Callithrix jacchus: one gene and its partner. The protein of the gene in region 1 binds, or shares a complex with, the protein of each later gene. Links are inferred from orthologs where the notes say so. Each region holds a gene or a part of one and is shown on either strand. Other genes may lie near its edges.

The links. Proteins that work in one complex are often made in the same cells at the same time.
Region 2: the proteins of SYK (region 1) and TYROBP are in contact, whole or in part, in a crystal structure (PDB 7Q5W), measured with the Homo sapiens proteins. The link is inferred for Callithrix jacchus from reciprocal best matches to the Homo sapiens genes SYK and TYROBP. Residues at the interface, in NP_001167638.1 of Homo sapiens: Arg22, Arg42, Asn46, His62, His63, Tyr64, Thr65, Ile76, Ala77, Gly78, Gly79, His92, Asp97, Gly98, Leu99, Arg175, Arg195, Arg197, Lys212, Leu214, His215, Tyr216, Arg217, Ile228, Pro229, Glu230, Gly231, Lys232, His243, Lys247; in NP_003323.1 of Homo sapiens: Pro90, Tyr91, Gln92, Glu93, Leu94, Gln95, Arg98, Ser99, Asp100, Val101, Tyr102, Ser103, Asp104, Leu105, Asn106.

The regions. Positions count from the first base shown.
Region 1 is NC_133502.1:74,829,062-74,832,607, forward strand, and holds part of SYK (tyrosine-protein kinase SYK), read right to left. Parts: intron 3,433-3,546; coding exon 3,255-3,432; intron 1,443-3,254; coding exon 1,233-1,442; intron 248-1,232; coding exon 58-247; intron 1-57. UniProt on the Homo sapiens protein: Non-receptor tyrosine kinase which mediates signal transduction downstream of a variety of transmembrane receptors including classical immunoreceptors like the B-cell receptor (BCR).
Region 2 is NC_133523.1:32,090,204-32,094,406, forward strand, and holds the start of TYROBP (TYRO protein tyrosine kinase-binding protein), read right to left. Parts: upstream 2,830-4,203; 5' UTR 2,747-2,829; coding exon 2,686-2,746; intron 2,285-2,685; coding exon 2,252-2,284; intron 2,088-2,251; coding exon 1,953-2,087; intron 1,773-1,952; coding exon 1,726-1,772; intron 1-1,725. UniProt on the Homo sapiens protein: Adapter protein which non-covalently associates with activating receptors found on the surface of a variety of immune cells to mediate signaling and cell activation following ligand binding by the receptors.

The DNA of each region.
Region 1 (3,546 bases):
ATGTATCTTGTATTTTCTACTGTCCACTGCTCTGAGTATTAGCTAAGTTGCACTCACCTTGTAGTAGTTTTCATCAGCACGCAGTGCTTTGGAAAGTCCAAAATCACTGATCTTGGCATAATGCTGAGTAACCAGCAACACATTTCTTGCAGCCAGATCTCTGTGCACAAAATTGCACTCCTCCAAATACTTCATGCCCATAGAAACCTGATGAACCAGTTCTATGATGTTCTTATCCTTGACATGTCTGAAAGTCACAACAATATCATCAGCTATAGGAGACAGTGACCCATTTCACAACAAACAACCATGCCCCTCACGAAGGCAGTAGGCAAATCTATTGCTTCTCTCTAACAATAAAACTCATAAATGGTGACAAATAACTTTATCGGCATATAGCTGTTCAGGACTGAATGTCATTCTCCTGGTGTTCATGAATGTCATTCTCCTGGGATTGAGTTTCCTGGCATGCTTGGAATTGCAGGAAAAGCAGTATAACAGGGTGGTCAAACCTGGCTCACAGCCAGCCAGACACACCTCAAATCCTTGCTCCACTATTGCACAGGTCACAGAATGAACCCTGACTCTCAGTTTCTCACCTATGAGGTAAGGGTAAAAACACCTCCCTTCCACGGAGACTAAAGAGGCAATCTAAGAAACGTAGTGCAGCAAACGGGGTAAGCTCCTTGGTGGTTGTCATTCCATTTTACTCCAAGTGAGTTTCCCCATCTCAACAACAGCTTTAGATGAGAACACGACTACTCCCTTGACAGATGTAATCAATAAGCAGCGATTGGTATTTTCAGAAGTCATTACTCATGAGGATATAAGGTCAGCCAAACAGATAAGACTTAACTGTCACCTCTTAGAAAAACATTTATTTTAAATGTTTCTTTAAAAAGAAAGTGTTCTTCCCAGTGAGAAAGGAGATTCATCATCAAGATATTATTCTAAGGTGGAGTCTATCCCTGGGCCAAGACTGAATGAGCACAGGAAGAAAAAGACAAAACTCTCAAATGAATTCTTCTCTGAATGAGTAGAGCTAACAGAGCTGACGCCAAAGACTGTGTCTCCGTCTGTCCCTCTGTCAAGGAGCCTGAGTGTGAACCAGTAAGGGAAGGCACAGAAGGGTGGGAAGGCTCCCTGAGGAAATCAGGCTGCTTGACCCATCCAGTCATGGGCCCCACCCCTCAGGGGATAGATCCCAGGCCCGTGGGGGTACCCGACAATACCTGTTCTGCTGCAAATACTTATTGAGGGGACCAAGTTCTGCCATCTCCATGACCAACATCCAGGACTCGGCCTCACATATCCCGATCATGCGTACGATGTACGGGTTGTCCAGCTGCTGCATGACATTTGCTTCTGCTAATAACTCATCTTTAAGAGCAGGGTCATTGGCCTCATTTTTCAGTATTTTCACAGCCACTGTTTTCACAACTCTGCAAGAGAAATCGTAATGCTTAAATCAATAATCAAAACGCCTCACTTCTAGATAATCTTCTTTTATGAAGCATAATCCCCATGCAGAAACAGTCCCATGGAAATACCTGCCACAGAGTGGAAGTGTGTCTTCAGAAGCCTGTAATGAATGGCCAGCGTTCCAACGATACTCACTGACTTTATAGACAATGAGAGTAGTGCCCCATTACTAAAAAGGAATGGTGGGGGCTGGGGCTGGGGCTGGGCATGGTGGCTCATGCTGATAATCCTAACACTTTCAGAGGTTGAATGGGGAGGATTGCTTGAGGCCAGGAGTTCAAGATCAGCCTGGGCAACATAGTGATACCCCATCTCTAAAAAAAATTAGCCAGGTGTGACAGTGCAAGCCTGTAGTCCCTGCTGCTTGGGAGGCTGAGGTGGGAGAGTCACACGGACTCGGGAGTTTGAGGCTGCAGTGAGCTTCACTCCAGCCTGGGTGACAGAGCGAAACCCTGTTTCTAAAAAACATAAAATAAAATAAAAAGAATGGTGAAGAACAGTACTAAAGAATGTCCCAACCAAGCAAAAACGCTAAATTATAAAATATTTAAATAACTTGTAAATAAACCTCACCAACAGTGACATACATGAATTCCTGTGACATCTTGTGATTCACCATCTCGGATTATGTGTAATGAATAGGTGGATATAAAATGCCTTTAGTAAATGTTGCAAGTGAATTTCTAGCTGCAGAATGTAAAAGCATACATTTAAATGCAATACACTGAAAAGGTAAACAACTCTCCTGAGAGAGGCTAAAGAAGACCTAGTAAATGGAGGGATGAGCTGTGTTTCTACACTGAAAGACTCAATATTGTAAAGACATCATTTTGCCCCAGATTAACCAAGAGAGCCTCTCCTCTCCCCAAACTTTCTAAGTGATATTATGTCCACAGTCCTGTCTCTGTTAATTCACAAATTTAAGCAGAGAATTAAAGATCACAATCTTTCCTAAACTGAAAGTTTATGATTAATACAGAAACATTCTTAATCATTGCACAAAATGACCGTGATATACAAACATATTTTAAAATAAGTATCACAACCAATTTTGTGTGTATATATATATATGTTCCTATATATACTTGTTAATATATACATATGCATGTTTTTGTGTGTATATACACGTCTTTGTATTATATATGTATACACATACATATGCACTAAAACAAATGGAAGGGACAGATTGGAAAGTAAGCATTTCTTTTTTCTTTCTTTTTTTTTTTTGAGATGGAGTTTGACTCTGTTGCCCAGGCTGGAGTGCAGTGGTGCCATCTTGGCTCAGTGCAACCTCCTCCTCCTGGGTTCAAGCTATTCTCCTGCCTCAGCCTCCTGAGTAGCTGGAACTATAGGTGTGCACTGCCATGCCTGGCTAATTTTTTAAAGTTTTTTGTAGAGACAGGGTTTTGCTATGTTGCCCAGGCCGGTCTCAAACTCCTGGCCTCAAACAATCCTTCTACCCCAGCCTCCCAAAGTGCTAAGATTATAGGCATGAGCTACTATGCTAGATTGATGTTTTCATTTTCTTGTGTTTCTATTTTCTAATTTTTCATAAGGTGCACATACTATTAGGTTGGTGCAAAAGTAATTGCAGTTTTTGCCATTAAAAGTAATGGTTACTTTCATTATAGTGTACCAGAAATTAACAAGAGTGACAACATTAATTTAAAAAGGGGTTAGTCATGCCAAGTTATATTTTGTTATTCTCGGTAGTGTCTAGAACCTGGGCTCATGTGAGGGTGAGAGCGACTCAGTGGAGCATGGTGACTTACTTTTTCATTTGGTAGTAGCCTTTTTTCACAGTTCCAAAATTACCAGAGCCCAGTTCTTTGTCTTCCAGTGTCAGCAGACTTCGGTCCAGGTAAACCTCCTTGGGCCTGATCTCCTCAGGGTCTGCGTAGGGGCTCTCATACACCTCTGTGTCCATGGGCAGTGCTTCTCTTTGGGGGCCTGCAATGCAGTCAAGAATCATACAACCTGGGGCTGGACCCCATATCAGGATTGATCCTTCCAAGAACATCATCTTCATGGAAGTGTGAACTCAGAGCACCATCAAGGTTACAA
Region 2 (4,203 bases), on another chromosome or scaffold:
ACTTCACAAAGAAACTTTATCCACAAGTGAGACAAATGGGCAAAGCTGGTTGCAGACAATATATTAGACTTCACACAGCAGAGTTCACGCTTGGGTGTGGGGAGGATCTATGCGGCCCCCAGGGGCAGGCCTCTCACAGAAACCCTAAAATCATATGTAATGACGTCTGGGTGTGCATTTTTCAGGGGAGAGGTCTTGGAGGATCTCATGACCCCCCAAAGGGCTAAGAAGAAACACTGACAGAGAGGGGGACAGATGTGTAGATTCTCTTGTCTACACCATAGTTTTTAAAAAGAGCTTCAGCCAGGCATGGTGACTCTTGCCTGTAATCCTAGCACTTTGGGAGACCGAGGTAATGGATCTCTTGAGCCCAGGAGTTCAGGACAAACCTGGGCAACATAGCAAGAACCTAGATCTACTTTTTTTTTTTTTTTGAGATGGAGTCTCGCTCTGTCACCAGGCTGGAGTGCAATGGCATGATATCGGCTCACAGCAACCTCCACTTCCCGGGTTCAAACAATTCTCCTATTTCAGCTTCCTGAGTAGCTGGGATTACAGGCTTACACCACCAAGCTCAGCTAATTTTTGTATTCTTAGTAGAGATGAGGTTTCTCCATGTTGGCCAGGATGGTCTCGATCTCCTGACCTCACGATCCACCCACCTTGGCCTCCCAAAGTGCTGGGACTACAGGCGTGAGACACCATACCTGGCCTCTACTTTAAAAAAAAAAAAAATTAGGCTGAATGTGGTGGCTTACGCCTGTAATTCCAACACTTTGGGAAGACAAGGCAGGCGGATCATGAGGTCAGGAATTTGAGACCAGTGAATTTGGCCAACATAGTGAAACCCTGTCTCTACTAAAAATACAAAAATGGGCCGGGTGTGGTGGCACATGCCTGTAATCCCAGCTACTCAGGAGGCTGCAGCCAGAGAGGCTGAGACTGAGGCCTGAACCAGGGAGGCAGAGGTTGCAGTGAGCTGAGACCATGCCATTGCACTCCAACCTGGGTGACAGAGTGAGACTTCTTCTCAGAAAAAAAGAAAAGAAAGAATGAAGAGCTTCAAGAATACTCAACCAGCATGGCTGCTCCTGCCTGTAATCCCAGGATTTTTGGAAGCTGAGGCAGGAGGATCACTTGAATCATTTGAGACCAGGAGTTGGAGATCAGCCTGAGCAACATAGTGAGACCCCTGTCTTATTTCTTCAAATAAAAAAAAATTTTTAATTAACGTTTTTTGTTTTTTTTTTTGAGACAAAGTCTTGCTCTGTCACCCAGGCTGGAGTGCAGTGGCATGATCTTGGCTCACTGCAACCTCCGCCTCCCGGGTTCAAGCAATTCTCCTACCTCAACCTCCCGAGTAGCTGGGATTACAGGCTCCCGCCACCATGCCCAGCTAATTTTAGTATTTTTAGTCGAGTTAGAGTTGGCCAGGCTGGTCTCAAACTCCTGACCTCAGGTGATCCACCTGCCTCGGCCTCCCAAAGTGCTGGAATTACAGACATGAGCCACCACGCCCAGCCAGTCTTCACACATTTTAAGCTGACCATAGGCTTGTGGTCAATCATTCAGCCCAGTTTCAGACAGATGCCCTGTGTGCCTTCAAGGTTCGGGAGTGCTTTAAGGAGAGTGGCTTTGAGGTCCCTATGATGGCATGAAGGAGAATCTGGGGCAGACATCCCCAGGCAGGAGTGAGATGTGAGGAGGGCAGTCTGGTTTTCTCACCTGATAAGGCGACTCGGTCTCAGTGATACGCTGTTTCCGGGTGGCTGCTGGAGGTGAGGGGTGTCGGGGCGCAGAGAAAGGCAGAGTGGTGAGCTGGGGTTGTTTTGTCGTTTCCAAATCAGCACCTCCATTACCATCCCTTTGGATGTTTGGGATCTGGGACCTTACTCAACCCCCCTCCTGGATCCAGGCACATCCTCAGGTTTTCTCCTGCCAGCCCCACTCACCCTCTGAAGCCCCTCGCCCTCGAGGGACCAGCCGGCCCAGGAAGTACACGGCCAGGGCAATAAGCACTGTCAGCACCAGGTCCCCCAGCACAATCCCCGCCAGCACGCCCGGGCTCACCGTGGAGCAGCTGCATTCTATGGCACAGGGGTCAGGAGAGGTCAGCATGTGTGCACTGGGAATAGTGGGGAGCAGGTCAGCGGGCAGTGGGGTGGGGGAGAGGTTTGGAAAGGGTGAGTGAGGGACAGAGACAGGGAGGTCTTTGGGAGGTAGGGAGAGGGACTGCTGGGTCTAGGCCTACCGCTCTGGGCCTGGGCCTGGACAGGACAGAGACCTGAGGAGTAAAAAGAAGGTAAACTGAGACACAGAGCTATGATGGGGGTAGGGGGACAAGTTTAGAAGCCGGGGAGGGTGGATCCTGACAGCCAGGAGGTTAGCAAGGGGGAGAGTGGGCCTGGCAGGACTCGGGGGCTGGTGTCTGGGCCACCAGAATGTGTGTGTTACTGCTGCACAACTTGTCCTGTGGGGACACCCTTAGATGTCCCCTCCTCCCCCTTGCTTGTAGTGGAGGGCAAATCTTGGGGGCTCAGGCTCTGGGAGAAAGCCACAGGCTCTGGGAGGCTGGGGACCTGCTCCCGTCCCAACACCCCGTTTTGGTTCTCTCATTCCACCCTGCTATCTGCCCTGTCCCAAGCTGAGCCCAGGGACAGGCAGCCACGGAAGCCCCCAACTCACCTCCCACGGCTAGCAGGAGAGGCAGGAGCAAGAGCCTGCTGCAGGGTTCAAGGCCCCCCATGAAGCCGGATGCCGCTGGACACCACAGTGTAAGGGCCGGTGGGATGCGCGGCGCAGCGTCCAGCCAAGTGAAGGAGGAAGTCTGAGGTGGGTGGTGGCAGAAGGGAGGAGGGGACAGGGGAGGAGGAGAGACAGAAACAAAACCCAAGAAAGAAACAGGCCCAGTCACCCAGGGGCCATGCCCCAGCTCTCCCGACCAACAACTGGACATGAAGGGCAAAGGGTACATGAAGTGCAAACTTGACTCCACCCACAAAGGGGATCAGACATCGTCTTAACAGGAGGGTCAGTGCATGACCTTCATCTGATTAGACTGAAACCAGCTCTGCCTCTTCCTGGCTGGGCAACCTTGAGTAAGTCACTCAACTTTTTTTTTTTAAGACGGTTTCCCTCTTGTTGCCCAGGCTGGAGTGCAATGGCACGGTCTTGGCTCACTGCAACCTCTGCCTCCCAGGTTCAAGCGATCCTCCTGCCTCAGCCTCCTAAGTAGCTGGGATTACAGGCACACGCCACCACGTCTGGCTAATTTTTGTATTTTTTATTTAGTAGAGACAGGGTTTCACCATGTTGGCCAGGCTGGTCTTGAACTCCTGATCTCAGGTGATCCAACCAACTCGGCATCCCAAAGTGCTGGGATTGTGTGAGCCACTGCGCCCGGCCCCAACCTTTCTGAGCCTGTTTCTTAATCTGTAAAATTGGGAGTAAAACAGGACCTACTTTTTAGAGTTGTTGTGGGGCTTAAATGGATTAAAGTTCCTAGAGCAGGGTCTGACACTTGTCAGCTTTTTTAAAGCATCAGCTGTGATGAGTATTCTTTAATCATCAGAACCTTGTGCTGTTTAAAGGATATTAAAAGAGCCATCATAACGTGCAGGCACTCTGTCCCAAGCATTAAATCATTCAGTCCCTGAAAAGCACTTCTGGGGCACATGCTTTTATCATCCCCATTGTTCAGAGAGATAGAGACACTTGCCTAAGGCTGCACAGCAAATCAAGATGGAAACGGAACCCAAGATCTAACGGCAGGTTTTTGACTCCGGGAGAGACGGGGGAAAAAAAAGATGAAATACGGGGGAAGGAGAAAACAGAGGCAAAGCCAAGAAAGAGGGTGAGAACAAGGCAGTGACACAGACACAGAGACGGGGCTGGCAGCTCAGGGAGACAGGTGGCTGGCTGCCCTCTGAATGAGGAAGTGACTGGGAGCAAGGCCTGAGGGAGGCCACCCCAAGGAAATGGGGACTTCTACCCCCTAGCCAGAGACTGAGCGCACTGGGGAAGGAGGAACCTGAGGTTAGGGTGCTGGGGGATAAGACAGCTGCAGGAAGCCCTCCTCCCCCATCCACATGTCACACCCACTGCTCCCTGGGCCTGGGCTCAGGAGAGAAAAGGGGAAACTGGATTCTGGTCACAGGACAGATGCCCAGTGGCCCATGGGGGAGGGGAGGGGAGGAGATTTGG